Linked DNA regions of Macaca fascicularis. The protein of the gene in region 1 interacts with the protein of each later gene in a biochemical or structural test. Links are inferred from orthologs where the notes say so. Each region holds a gene or a part of one and is shown on either strand. Other genes may lie near its edges.

Region 1 (4,030 bases):
CAACCTCTGCCTCCAGGGTCAAGCGATTCTTCTGCCTCAACCTCCCAAGTAGCTGGGACTACAGGTGCATACCACCGTGCCCAGCTAATTTTTGTGTTTTTAGTAGAGATGGGGTTTCACTGTGTTGGCCAGGATGGTCTCCATCTCTTGACCTTGTGATCTACTCGCCTCCCAAAGTGCTGGGATTATAGGCGTGAACCACCATGCTGGGCCCTTATTTTTCTTTTATCTCCAGCCTCCTACTGGTCCGTCCTTACTTCTGGTCTTGTGGGGTATGCATACTTGGTCCCTGTAGCCATTTCCAAGGGCAGAAGAGGGCCTGACTTTATTTTTAGTTGCTGACATTTGTAGTCCTGGTTACATAATAGCAAAGTTCTGGCCAACTCAGCTTTCTCTAAATTCAAGGCAGGCCTTAAACCTGCCAGGGTAAAGACTAAACTATAGGGAAGGGAACAAATCGTAGCATTTTCCTAACTCCATTCCCACACTGACATCCTGTAGCATTTTCCTAACTCCATTCCCACACTGACATCCTCCAAATGTGTATTTCCAGTCTGGACCTCTTCCAGAACTTCCGACTCTGCTGTCTACTGCCTACTTGCCATTTCTTTTTCAATGTCTAATAGGTACCTAAGACTATGTGCAAACTTGTTGATTTTCCCCTTCCAAGGTCATCCCCATCTCAGATGACAACTCTAGTTGCTTAAGCTAAAAACCTTGGTATCATCCTTCATTCCTCTCACACCCTGCAATCCAAAGTACTAGCAAATTTTAACTTTTTTTTTTTTTTTTTTTGAGACGGGTCTCCCTCTTTTTGCCCAGGCTAGAGGGCAGTGGCACAATCTCCGCTCTGCAACCTTTGCCTCCTGGGTTCAAGCGATTCTCCTGCCTCAGCCTCCTGAGTAGCTGGGATTACAGGCATGCACTACCATGCCTGGCTGATTTTTGTATTTTTAGTAAAGATGGGGTTTCACGTTGGCCAGGCTGGTCTTGAACTCCTGACTTCGTGTGATCCACTCCTCTGGTCTCCTAAAGTGCTGGGATTACAGGCATGAGCCACCATGCCCGGCCCTTAACTCATTCTTTAAAAATGAGTTTTTAAAACTTTGCTTAGAAGAATTTAAACACCTCTAATTCCATTCTTTCCAATCTAGATCAATTCACCACCATCTCTCAATTACTGCAGAAACTTCCTGATTGCAGAAGGTCTTCCCATTTCTTCTCTTGCCACCCCTCCGTAAGTCTATTCACCATACAGCAGCCTGAGTGAACCTTTTAAAACAGGTCATTCCTCTGCTCAAAACTCTCCAGTGACTTCCTATGTCATGTCAGGGAAGTCATTGGAGGGTTTTGAGAGGAGGAATTACCTAAGGTAATTCCTGACCACCTGATGTAACACAGTAACCTCCATCCTGAACATTCTCCATTCCTTTCTCTGCTTTAGCTTTCTCCATGGCACTTATATTTTGTTTACTGTAGGCCTCCCACTGAGATGATTTTTTCCTCTTGCTCACGGATGTTCCCTGAGCCCCAAACTGTTTGGCACACAGTAGGTCCTCATTAAGTATTTGTTAAGAATGAATGAATTCTCCCCAATCTCTCTTATAGGGAAGGGGCAGACGCAGAGTGGCAGCTGCCGATCCCTAGGGACTGGAGATGCAATATTGCCCGAAATATTTCTCTGCAGGGCTGTCTTCCCTGGGGAACCCTCCCTTGCCTTCCAGTGCGTGGGACTTGGCTTTCATCAGCAGTGGAGCCTCAGGTCAGAAGGCTGCAGAGCCAAACGGGGCTGGCCTGATGCAATGGTTACACAGAGATTAGCTGGGAGACAGGACCGGGTTAAAGAGGCAGGGACTAATCCCGAGGGAAGGACGATACCCTGGGGAGACCCCAAATGGCCTCCTACACTTAAGAGATCCAGGCTGCTCTCTTGTGCGGGAGGCCCAGAGACCTCTACGGCAAAGGGAAAACACACCGCTCCCTGTCCATCGGCACCCCTCCCAAAGGCTTGTGTCAAGGTTCCCCTTTCAGCCCTGCAGGGTCCAGTAGCCCCAGCTACCGAGGTGGCCATGCTGACACCAGAGACGCTGAGACTGAGACAGGATTGGGGGTAGGGTAGGGAGAAGGCCGATGGTGGCGAACGGGCGGAAACGGTTTGAGCGATGGTAACTCAGTCTTAGAGCGGGGGTGTGTCCTGCTGCCTCCCCGCGGACAGGCCTAACGAGGTGGCCTGAAGTTGGCTACGGGAGAGAATGAATTTCCCTAGGGCAGCCGAGGTCCCTTTGCCCAGCAGCACAGAGCAGGGCCCATGCTCCGGCTCCGGGCAGGGGTGGAGAGACGCTGTCGTCCGAAGCAATGGGGGTTTGTAAGCACCACCCCAGAATAAGGGACTCTCCCCATTCCTCTCTCGGACGGTCCCTGACTTCACTGTGGAGGCGTGAGGCCAATCCTAAAGAGCGGATGCCCCAACTCTGAGGAGACGGGAGGGCAAAGGGCAGATGGGAGTCAGTACTCGCCTCTCTCCTCAGGTTCCAGCTCTGATTTTGGCTCTGTCGCTGCCACCCGCTCATCTTCAACATGATACGCTCAGTGCCTTAGACTTAAGCCTCTGACCTCGGGAGCGCCTAGCTGTAATCTTTTACCATGGCCTTGCCCTCCTCTCAGGGGCGGGACCCCAAAACCTACCAATCAGAAAGTGGCACGCCGGCATTGGCCCCGCCTCGTCCCTCGTATCCGCCACTCAGGAGCTCCGCAGAACCGCCCCCGTCGCTCCCTCTCGCTAGGGGGTCGACGTAGTGTCGGACCCGGAAGTGGCTTTGGGTCACGAGGCTTCACGGAGGCGGTGGGTGAGTCATGCGCGCGCGCGGAGGGGAGTGTAGCGGGGGGAGGGGAGGAAAGGGGGGCGGGGATGATGCAATGTTTGGCAACTGGTGTCTGCACGCGCACGCGCAGGGGACTACGAGGGTGGTGGGAGGTGCAGAGGGTGGGGGAAAGGAGAGAGGGCGGGGCGCCAGCTCCCGGCGCCCAACGGCCCCAACGGCTATCAGCGTTGGCCGTCCGTAGTCGGTCGTGTGGAGCCTCTTTGCCGCTTGTCTCCCCCAGAAGCTGCTGTTCCGCCCACCGAGCTTTAGCCGGCGTTTTACCTCCACTATAAGGGACTCCCATTTTCCTTGGCCCCTCCCAGCTAATGGTCATATAGGCCTTTTGAACTTTTCCTTTGAAAGTTGGTATCCATCCACTGGGATTGTCGACATCTCGAGAGTCTTAGAGAGGTCTCCGGGCTCGGTGACTCATGCCTATAATCCCAGCACTTTGGGAGGCTGAGGAGAGCGGATCACTTCAGGTCAGGAGTTCCAGATCAGCCTGACCAACATGGTGAAACCCCGTCTCTACTAAAAATACAAAAATTAGCCGGGTGTGGTGATGCGCGCCTGTAATCCCAGCTACTCTGGAGGCTGAGGCAGGAGAATCGCTTGAACCCTGGTGGCGTATGTTGCAGTGACCGAGATCGCGCCACTGCACTCCAGCCTGGGTGACAGAGCGAGACTACGTTTCACCGAAAACGAAAAACAAATAAAAAAAACCGGGGTCGTCTAGCCCCGTAAATCTCCCAAAAGGGGCCGAGGTACTGGAATCCCTTGGTAGTCATTTTCCGCTTCTCTCACAACAGCGCCCTTGACTTTTACCTTGGAGTTGCTAAGCCCTCAGCCTGCCAGAAGTCATGTATTTTACCCAGTGGACCCAATTCTGTTTGGCCACCTATTTTCCCCCACTATACTCTTACGGCTTTCTCCAATACCAAGACCCTCTCTTGCTGTACCAGACAGCAAGTCCTGTGACTCCCTGCTGTGAGGAGCGCGGCACAGGCCTGCCTCCTAGGTGTTCGGGTCGAGATTTACAGCGGAGTCTCATCCTGGGACGTGTAAGTGCACTTCAGCGCAGGACCGCCGTGGACTGGGGAGACCGGGGCCGCGATTTTAGCCTCAACTCCCCCTCACTTACCAAGGGATCTTACCGTCCTTGTTTGTAA
Region 2 (4,020 bases), on another chromosome or scaffold:
GTGTGGTAGGCTACACTACCTAGGTTTGTGTAAGTACACTCTATGATGTTGGCACAACAATGAAATCACCTAACGATACATTTCTGAGAACATATTCTTGTTGTTAAGTGATGAATGACTGTATATGACATTCTGGAAAAGGCAAAACTATGGAAACTAAAAAGATCAGTGGTTACCAGGGGTTGAGGAGTGGGGATGATGAACAGGTGGAGCACAGAGGGTTTTTGGGGCAGTGAAACTATTCTGTAGGATACAATAATGGTAGATTCTTGTGTTTAAAAATCTGCCCTAACCCATAGAATGTACAACACCAAGAGTGAACCCCAGCGTAAACTATGGATTTCATGTATGAATAATTTGTTAATTAGGTTAATTGATTGTGACAAACGTACCAGCTGGTGGGGGATATTGATAAAGGAAGTGGCTATACAAGTGTGGGAAGAGGAAGTCTGTGGGAAATTGAGTACTTTCCGCTTAATTTTGCTGTCAATCTAAAACTGTTCTACACAATAAAGTTGATGTTTAAGAAAGCCAAGTGAGGTGCTAACACCTTTCTGTAGAGTTCATTCCACTGTAGCGTTACACAGATTTGGGCTGGAATCTGAGCCAAGCCCTGTAACCTGGGGGAAGTTACTTACCCCTCTAATCTTAGTTTCTCTAACTTTACAGAGATTGTAATGCCTTCCTCAGAGTGTTTTGAGAGCTAAATGCAAAACTGTATGTAAAGAATCTAATCCAGCACCTGGATATATAGCATGGTAAATATATACAGGCCTCCTCATTCCTCCCTATGACTGTGATTCTTATCTATTCTGATGGCTACTATTTTCAAAGTCAGGCCAGGGCAAGAAAGCTGTTTTGGGTGAAAGTGTCTTCTACTAGAAAATAATCTGTGCATGAGGGGCCTGTGTGTCCTCATTTGCTCATGTGTGTCCCCAGAGGTGCTGGCTACAGAAGGCCAGACATGCACTGGAGCCCCGGATCAGTGTCAAGCCCCTCACTCAGCTTTCTCCCGTGAAAAGGTCAGGATGATGGAAGGCTGTCATATTTAGATGATGGCTCGCAGGGAAGCCTTGGTGGGTTAGTCACCTATGATATGACATCATATTGCCACTCAATATAGTAACAGCTGTTGGTTGCTTTGGGGGGCAGAGGTGGGGTTAGCTTTAGTTGACCAACCATGCCTTGAGGATAAATTGGATGGGATCAGATGGGAAGATGTGACAAGAAGAGAAATCCTCCTCTATATAGGATGCTCTGCCATTTCCTAAGGATTTTCAGCACCTCGCCCCAAAATGTGAGTCTTGACTTTTTCTCTGGCTTTGGGGCTAAGTGGGAAAAATGTTACAGGAGAAAGGTGTTTGGTCAGGAAGCCTCCAGCTGGGGGAGTACCCATTGTGGCCCTGCTGGGTGGGTGACACCCGGAAGAGGGGTGGGAAAGTGAGCAGTTCGGTGCATATGGCACTCAGTGAAGTGATCTGAGGGATAGGGATCAAAAAGTCCAGGAGTTAGAGTGCTGCAGAAGCTCTAGGTTGGATTAAGGTTTTTACTGACCCCTCTTCAGGTTACATAACACCTGCGGGATGACCTGTGGCATCCCAGTGAGGCAGTGATGTGGTCTCGGTCTCATCCTGGATGAAACCGTGATTTGGGGATACCATTAGTCAGTGCTGTAGTCGATGTAAGGCATTGATTATTCATAATAGGAAGCAATTGGAGTTGGTTAACACCTTCCTTCTAGTGTGTTCTCCTTCTTGACTTTCCTACCTCTTCTGGGGCCCTTGTGTTTTGGGAATAGAATGCTTTGTATCAGCAGTGTAACATGGATAGGTTAACTGGATATAGGCTGGGTATGGGGAGAGCTGGTTCTTCCTGTGCTTAAACGGAATAAGTCCAGAGTGAGGGAGTAAAGATGTTAGAGAGGAAAAGCCCTGGAATGAGGGTCAAGAGATCTTGTTTGGCAGCTAGTTCTGCCAAGTAAAAGCTGTGTGACCTTGGGCAAGTCACTGTTTCTCTTTGGATTTTGGTTATTCCTCTCATCTGTAAAAACGTGTGCACTTGGGGTTCTTCCAGCCCCACTGGTCCTCTTCCATCCTTTAAATGTGGATCTGTGGTTCTGTTGTTGGCAGCCCAGAAAGGGCACAAGTTTGAGTATCTGGCTCTGCCATTTGTTGTGCGACCGTGGACAAAGACACCCCTTCTCTGAAACTCAATTTTCCCATTTATAAAATATGGATTTTTGTGAGACATCAGTGAGGTAAGGAAGCTGAGAGCCTTTTCGGAGGCACGATGTGGATGTAAAGCAACACCCTGAGTTTGGACAGGGCAGGTGGAGTAAGGCAGGCTGAGGGGTGATGTTTGGGGTTACTGGCAGGTTGAACTGTGACCAGGGGCATAGATGGGGTGGAGGTCATGGTCAGCCAGGCCATAGAAACCCCTAGCCCTGTCCTACTCAGTTCTTGTTCCTTCCCCAGCAGCCGAGGGAGGGAAAATAGTTGAGAGGTTATAAATGACGCTGAAAACAGCTCACAGAAGTGGCTGCAAACTGTCTGAGGGGGTCATGCCGCCGGAGCAAAGCGTGTGCTGGGAAGCCATCCAGGGTTTGGGGACCCCTGAAAACTGAGCAACCTCCTGGTTCCTATTGGTGCCCAAGAGGATGCACCGTCTGCACTGCCTGGCATCACTTCCTGGGAAAGTGAAAACTCCTCGTATGGCGACTAATGGATCACGACTGAACAGTGACCAGAGTGACTTGTCTTGAACCGTCTCTGAGGGAAAGTCACAGATTCCCTAGAGAAAATTTCCAAATTCCTGTTTATTCTTCACATAAACAGATTAACCTAGGGGTAGCGATTTTACTTAACTCTTCCTTTCATGTTGCAGGGAAAGTGAAATTGGCCACTTCTTTGAAGCTGTTCTTTGAGCCATAAATATAATTTCTCTTCCCACCCACAGAAAGGGGTTTTCTTTTTCTTTCTTTCCTTCTTTTCTCTTTCTTTCTTTCTTTTTTTTTTTTTTTTGAAGCCCCAGGCTCTGATACGTTCGGAGGTTGGCAGGAGGTGCAGCTGCCGTAGGAGCAGCATGTTGTCCCCCTGCTGACTCATCTGACATTAACATAATTATGTTTCAGGAGTCAAAGTGATTTTCAAACTATGAGTAATGCAGGGTGTTAGAGAGAGTGTTTACACGGCAGTGGGCATTTCAGCACACTCAAGTAACCAGCTGCTGCTAACAGCTGCAATGAGTGAAGGAATAAGAAAATGCTCTCAGGAAAAACAACCCTTCTGTCTCGTGTCTGTTTCTGTGCAAAGGATTCAGATGTCATGAAAGGCAGGTGAACTTAGAGTTCCCTAAGAACCAATTCAGATCTAGCATTGTTATCTGAATGCCTTGATGTCTGATCTTTTTATGGGGAAAAAAATGTCTTTATAGCTTATTTTCCATTTACCCAACTCTAGGGAAAGGTGGATTTAAAGACTTTAGCAAATTATTTATTTTTTATGATGTTACCAGTATTAATAATTATAATAATATTCTAAGGCTGTGCTGCTGCTTCTAAAACAGGAACAAGGACAAAACCCATTTCCCCCAGTTTTAAAGACAGGGGCAGAAGCCCATGGAGAGGGGGACTGGGGAATGTCTTCTTAAAGCTCCTTTGTCTCATTATTATGGGAAAAGTTCTGAGAGACATGGAGTGCAGTGTGCCAAGTATTTAGACCTCAGGAGCGAAAAGCTGGGCTCCAGTCCTGTTCCAGAACTGAATATTGGAATGGGAATGCCTCAATTTCCTCATCTCATAGTGAGAATATTAATAACACTTTCTCTGCCTACATCAGAAAAAGAGCCTTGAACTTTTGTAGGGTAGGGACAGGGTCTGCCCACTACTGTAGCCCCAGTGTCTAACTTAGAGCTGTCACATAGAAGGTGCTCAGTAAGTATTTGCAGAATTAACGAATGAGATAAAAGCTATAAATGCCAGAGCTCTGCTCTTGTGGTTTGCTATTGCATCTAGCAAGGTGT
Region 3 (4,205 bases), on another chromosome or scaffold:
GGAGACCGGGGCTGTGCGGGGACATGCGTCTTCGCACCCTGGAGGTGGCCGGCGCGCTGGGGCTGAGCCCGGGCAGCGTGACCCCGGCTGTCCTACGCAGCAGGGCAGGAGGCTGGGGGGCGTGGCACACTCTGGAGCACCTTGCCTCCCCAAAGCCCGGTGTTCCAGGACGTGGAGCCGCGCCTGGGGTCCCAGCGGTGGAGGTATTCCGCCTGGGCGCTGCTGGACACTGTCCTTCCAGCCCCTGTCCTCCCCTCTCCAAGTCCGCGCTGGAAAATCACCCGCTGCGGGCTCCCGTAAGCACAGCTTCCTGGCGGGACCGAACCAGCCCCCCAGCTCAGATTTTAGTTCCCCGCAGGAAGCACACCCCGCCTTGTCATCCCGAACTGACCACCCTGCCCACATAACCACACCCCGCACTCCCTACCCCCGGGGCCCAGCTCAGAACCGGGCAGACACCCCCTTCAAATGTCTTCGCACGTAGGTGTCGCACAGTGTTTATCTGCTGGTGTCTCAGGGATTTGACAGTTTCCTTAATATTCCCACACATGGCCGAGAAAAATAAATAAATAAATGCGCTGTCTTCCTTAAAGAAAAAATAAGTAAATAAATAAAGTACCCAGTATCGTAAAGTAGGTTATCGTATTCTGTTATTTTGGATCCACTTTCTGCTTCCAAACGCAGGAACAGTGCTAGCATTGCTCGAGCCCGGGAGGAGAGGGGTGAGGGTCTGCTTCCTCGTTTTGCACTGAATTAGGGCTAGAATTGGGGATGGGGGTAGGGACGCATTCCTTCGGGAGCCGAGGCTTAAGTCCTCGGGGCCGTGTACCCGAGGCCGTTTCTCCTATTCCTGAGCCTCAGAACTGTCTTCAGTTTCCGTACAAGGGTAAAGAGGCGCTCTCTGCCCCATCCCCCCCGACCTCGGGAACAAGGGTCCGCATTGAACCAGGTGCGAATGTTCTCTAGCATTCTGCGCCGTTCCCGCCTCCCCTCCCCCGGCCGCGGCCCCCGCCTCCCCCCGCGCTGCACCCTCGTTGTTGGCTGCAGCCCGCGAGCAGTTCCCGTCAATCCCTCCCCCTTACACAGGATGTCCATATTAGGACATCTGCGTCAGCAGGTTTCCACGGCCTTTCCCTGTAGCCCTGGGGGGAGCCATCCCCGAAGCCCCTCATCTTGGGGGTCCCACGAGACCCCTGAGACAGGAACTGCGAAATGCTCACGAGATTAGGACACGCGCCAAGGCACAGGCAGGGAGCTGCGAGCGCTGGGGAGGCAGCCACGCGGCGGCAGAGGCGCTCAGGCCCGCGCGCCACCCCTCTGGCGCCACCGTGGTTGAGCCCGTGACGTTTACACTCATTCATAAAACGCTTGTTATAAAAGCAGTGGCTGCGGCGCCTCGTACTCCAACCGCATCTGCAGCGAGCAGCCGAGAAGCCGAGACTGAGCCGGCGGCCGCGGCGCAGCGAACGAGCAGTGACCGCGCTCTTACCTAGCTCTGCTCCACAGCGCCCACCTGTCTCCGCCCCTCGGCCCCACGCCCGGCTTTGCCTAACAGCCACGATGATGTTCTCGGGCTTCAACGCAGACTACGAGGCGTCATCCTCGCGCTGCAGCAGCGCGTCCCCGGCCGGGGATAGCCTCTCCTACTACCACTCACCCGCCGATTCCTTCTCCAGCATGGGCTCGCCTGTCAACGCGCAGGTAAGGCTGGCTTCCCACCGCCGCGGGGCCGGGGGCTTGGGGTCGCTGAGGAGGAGACACCGGGCGGGACGCTCCAGGAGATGAGTAGGGGGCTCCCTTGTGCCTGGAGGGAGGCTGCAGTGGCCGGAGCGGTGCCGGCTCGGGGGCTCGGGACTTGGCTCTGAGCGCACGCAAGCTTGCCATAGTAAGAATTTGTTCCCCCTTCCGGAGGCAGGTTCGTTCTGAGCAACGTCTGGTTTGCACTCCAGGACGGATCTCTGACATTAGCTGGGGCAGACGTCTCCCAAGCACAGACTCGCTAACTAGAGCCTGGCTTCTCTGGGGAGGTGGCAGAAAGCGGCAATCCCCCCTCCCCCGGCAGCCTGGAGCAGGGAGGAGGGGTGAGGGAGGAGGGTGCAGCGGGCGGGTGTGTAAGGCAGTTTCATTGATAAAAAGCGAGTTCATTCTGGAGACTCCGGAGCGGCGCCTGCGTCAGCGCAGACGTCAGGGATATTTATAACAAACCCCCTTTCAAGCGAGTGATGCTGAAGGGATAACGGGAACGCAGCGGCAGGATGGAAGAGACAGACACTGCGCTGCGGAATGCCTGGGAGGAAAAGGGGGAGACCTTTCATCCAGGATGAGGGACATTTAAGATGAAACGTCCGTGGCAGGATCGTTTCTCTTCGCTACTGCATGCGGCACCGGCAACTCGCCCCACCTGTGTCCGGAATCTGCTCGCTCACGTCGGCTTTCCCCTTCTGTTTTGTTCTAGGACTTCTGCACGGACCTGGCCGTCTCCAGTGCCAACTTCATTCCCACGGTCACTGCCATCTCGACCAGTCCGGACCTGCAGTGGCTTGTGCAGCCGGCCCTCGTCTCCTCTGTGGCCCCATCGCAGACCAGAGCCCCTCACCCCTTCGGAGTCCCCACTCCCTCCGCTGGGGCTTACTCCAGGGCTGGCATTGTGAAGACCATGACAGGAAGCCGAGCGCAGAGCACTGGCAGGAGGGGTAAGGTGGAACAGGTGAGGAACTCTAGCCTACCCTTCCTGGGAAGGTGGGGGCTGGGTGGGAAGCGGCCCTGGAGGTGGAGGAGCACAGCAGAGAGGATTAAGCCCCTGACGGGGCTGGCTGCACATCCCTAACTGGGAACCCTGGCTCCAAGCCCATTCCATCCCAACTCAGACTCTGAGTCTCACCCTAAGAAGTACTCTCATAGTTTCTTCCCTAAGTTTCCTACCGCATGCTTTTAGACTGGGCTCTTCTTTGTTCTCTTGCTGAGGATCTTATTTTAAATGCAAGTCACACCTAGTCTGCAACTGCAGGTTAGAAATGGTTTCACAGTGGGATGCCAGGAAGTAGGGAAGCTGCAGGAGCCAGTTCTACTGGGGTGGGTGAATGGAGGTGATGGCAGACACTTTTACTGAATGTCGGTCTTTTTTTTTTTGTGATTATCCTAGTTATCTCCAGAAGAAGAAGAGAAAAGGAGAATCCGAAGGGAAAGGAATAAGATGGCTGCAGCCAAATGCCGCAACCGGAGGAGGGAGCTGACTGATACACTCCAAGCGGTAGGTAGACTCTGCGGGTTGCTCCTTTTTAAAACTTAAGGGGAAAGTTGGAGATTGAGCATAAGGGCCCTTGAGTAAGACTGTTTCTTATGCTTTCCTTTCTCCCTCTGTATACAGGAGACAGACCAACTAGAAGATGAGAAGTCTGCTTTGCAGACCGAGATTGCCAACCTGCTGAAGGAGAAGGAAAAACTAGAATTCATCCTGGCAGCTCACCGACCTGCCTGCAAGATCCCTGATGACCTGGGCTTTCCAGAAGAGATGTCTGTGGCTTCCCTTGATCTGACTGGGGGCCTGCCAGAGGCTGCCACCCCAGAGTCTGAGGAGGCCTTCACCCTGCCTCTCCTCAATGACCCAGAGCCCAAGCCCTCAGTGGAGCCTGTCAAGAGCATCAGCAGCATGGAGCTGAAGGCTGAGCCCTTTGATGACTTCCTGTTCCCAGCATCATCCAGGCCCAGCGGCTCTGAGACAGCCCGCTCTGTACCAGACATGGACCTATCTGGGTCCTTCTATGCAGCAGACTGGGAGCCCCTGCACAGTGGCTCCCTGGGGATGGGGCCCATGGCCACAGAGCTGGAGCCCCTGTGCACTCCGGTGGTCACCTGTACTCCCAGCTGCACTGCTTACACGTCTTCCTTCGTCTTCACCTACCCCGAGGCTGACTCCTTCCCCAGCTGCGCAGCTGCCCACCGCAAGGGCAGCAGCAGCAATGAGCCCTCCTCTGACTCGCTCAGCTCACCCACGCTGCTGGCCCTGTGAGCGGGCAGGGAAGGGAGGCAGCCGGCACCCACAAGTGCCACTGCCCGAGCTGGTGCATTACAGAGAGGAGAAACACGTCTTCCCTAGAGGGTTCCTGTAGACCTAGGGAGGACCTTATCTGTGCGTGAAACACACCAGGCTGTGGGCCTCAAGGACTTGAAAGCATCCATGTGTGGACTCAAGTCCTTACCTCTTC

The links.
Region 2: the proteins of DDIT3 (region 1) and ATF3 form a complex in vitro, tested with the Homo sapiens proteins (2 studies listed by BioGRID and IntAct, with this or other methods). The link is inferred for Macaca fascicularis from reciprocal best matches to the Homo sapiens genes DDIT3 and ATF3.
Region 3: the proteins of DDIT3 (region 1) and FOS form a complex in vitro, tested with the Homo sapiens proteins (2 studies listed by BioGRID and IntAct, with this or other methods). The link is inferred for Macaca fascicularis from reciprocal best matches to the Homo sapiens genes DDIT3 and FOS.

The regions. Positions count from the first base shown.
Region 1 is NC_088385.1:64,327,937-64,331,966, forward strand, and holds the start of DDIT3 (DNA damage-inducible transcript 3 protein), read right to left. Parts: upstream 2,801-4,030; 5' UTR 2,686-2,800; intron 2,615-2,685; exon of another isoform or gene 2,580-2,614; coding exon of another isoform or gene 2,517-2,579; intron 1-2,516. Other genes in the region: DDIT3 upstream open reading frame protein, read right to left, coding at 2,517-2,579. UniProt on the Homo sapiens protein: Multifunctional transcription factor in endoplasmic reticulum (ER) stress response. Plays an essential role in the response to a wide variety of cell stresses and induces cell cycle arrest and apoptosis in response to ER stress.
Region 2 is NC_088375.1:70,370,055-70,374,074, forward strand, and holds the start of ATF3 (cyclic AMP-dependent transcription factor ATF-3), read left to right. Parts: upstream 1-1,220; 5' UTR 1,221-1,297; intron 1,298-4,020.
Region 3 is NC_088381.1:143,230,318-143,234,522, forward strand, and holds the start of FOS (protein c-Fos), read left to right. Parts: upstream 1-1,405; 5' UTR 1,406-1,560; coding exon 1,561-1,701; intron 1,702-2,455; coding exon 2,456-2,707; intron 2,708-3,142; coding exon 3,143-3,250; intron 3,251-3,367; coding exon 3,368-4,009; 3' UTR 4,010-4,205. UniProt on the Homo sapiens protein: Nuclear phosphoprotein which forms a tight but non-covalently linked complex with the JUN/AP-1 transcription factor. In the heterodimer, FOS and JUN/AP-1 basic regions each seems to interact with symmetrical DNA half sites.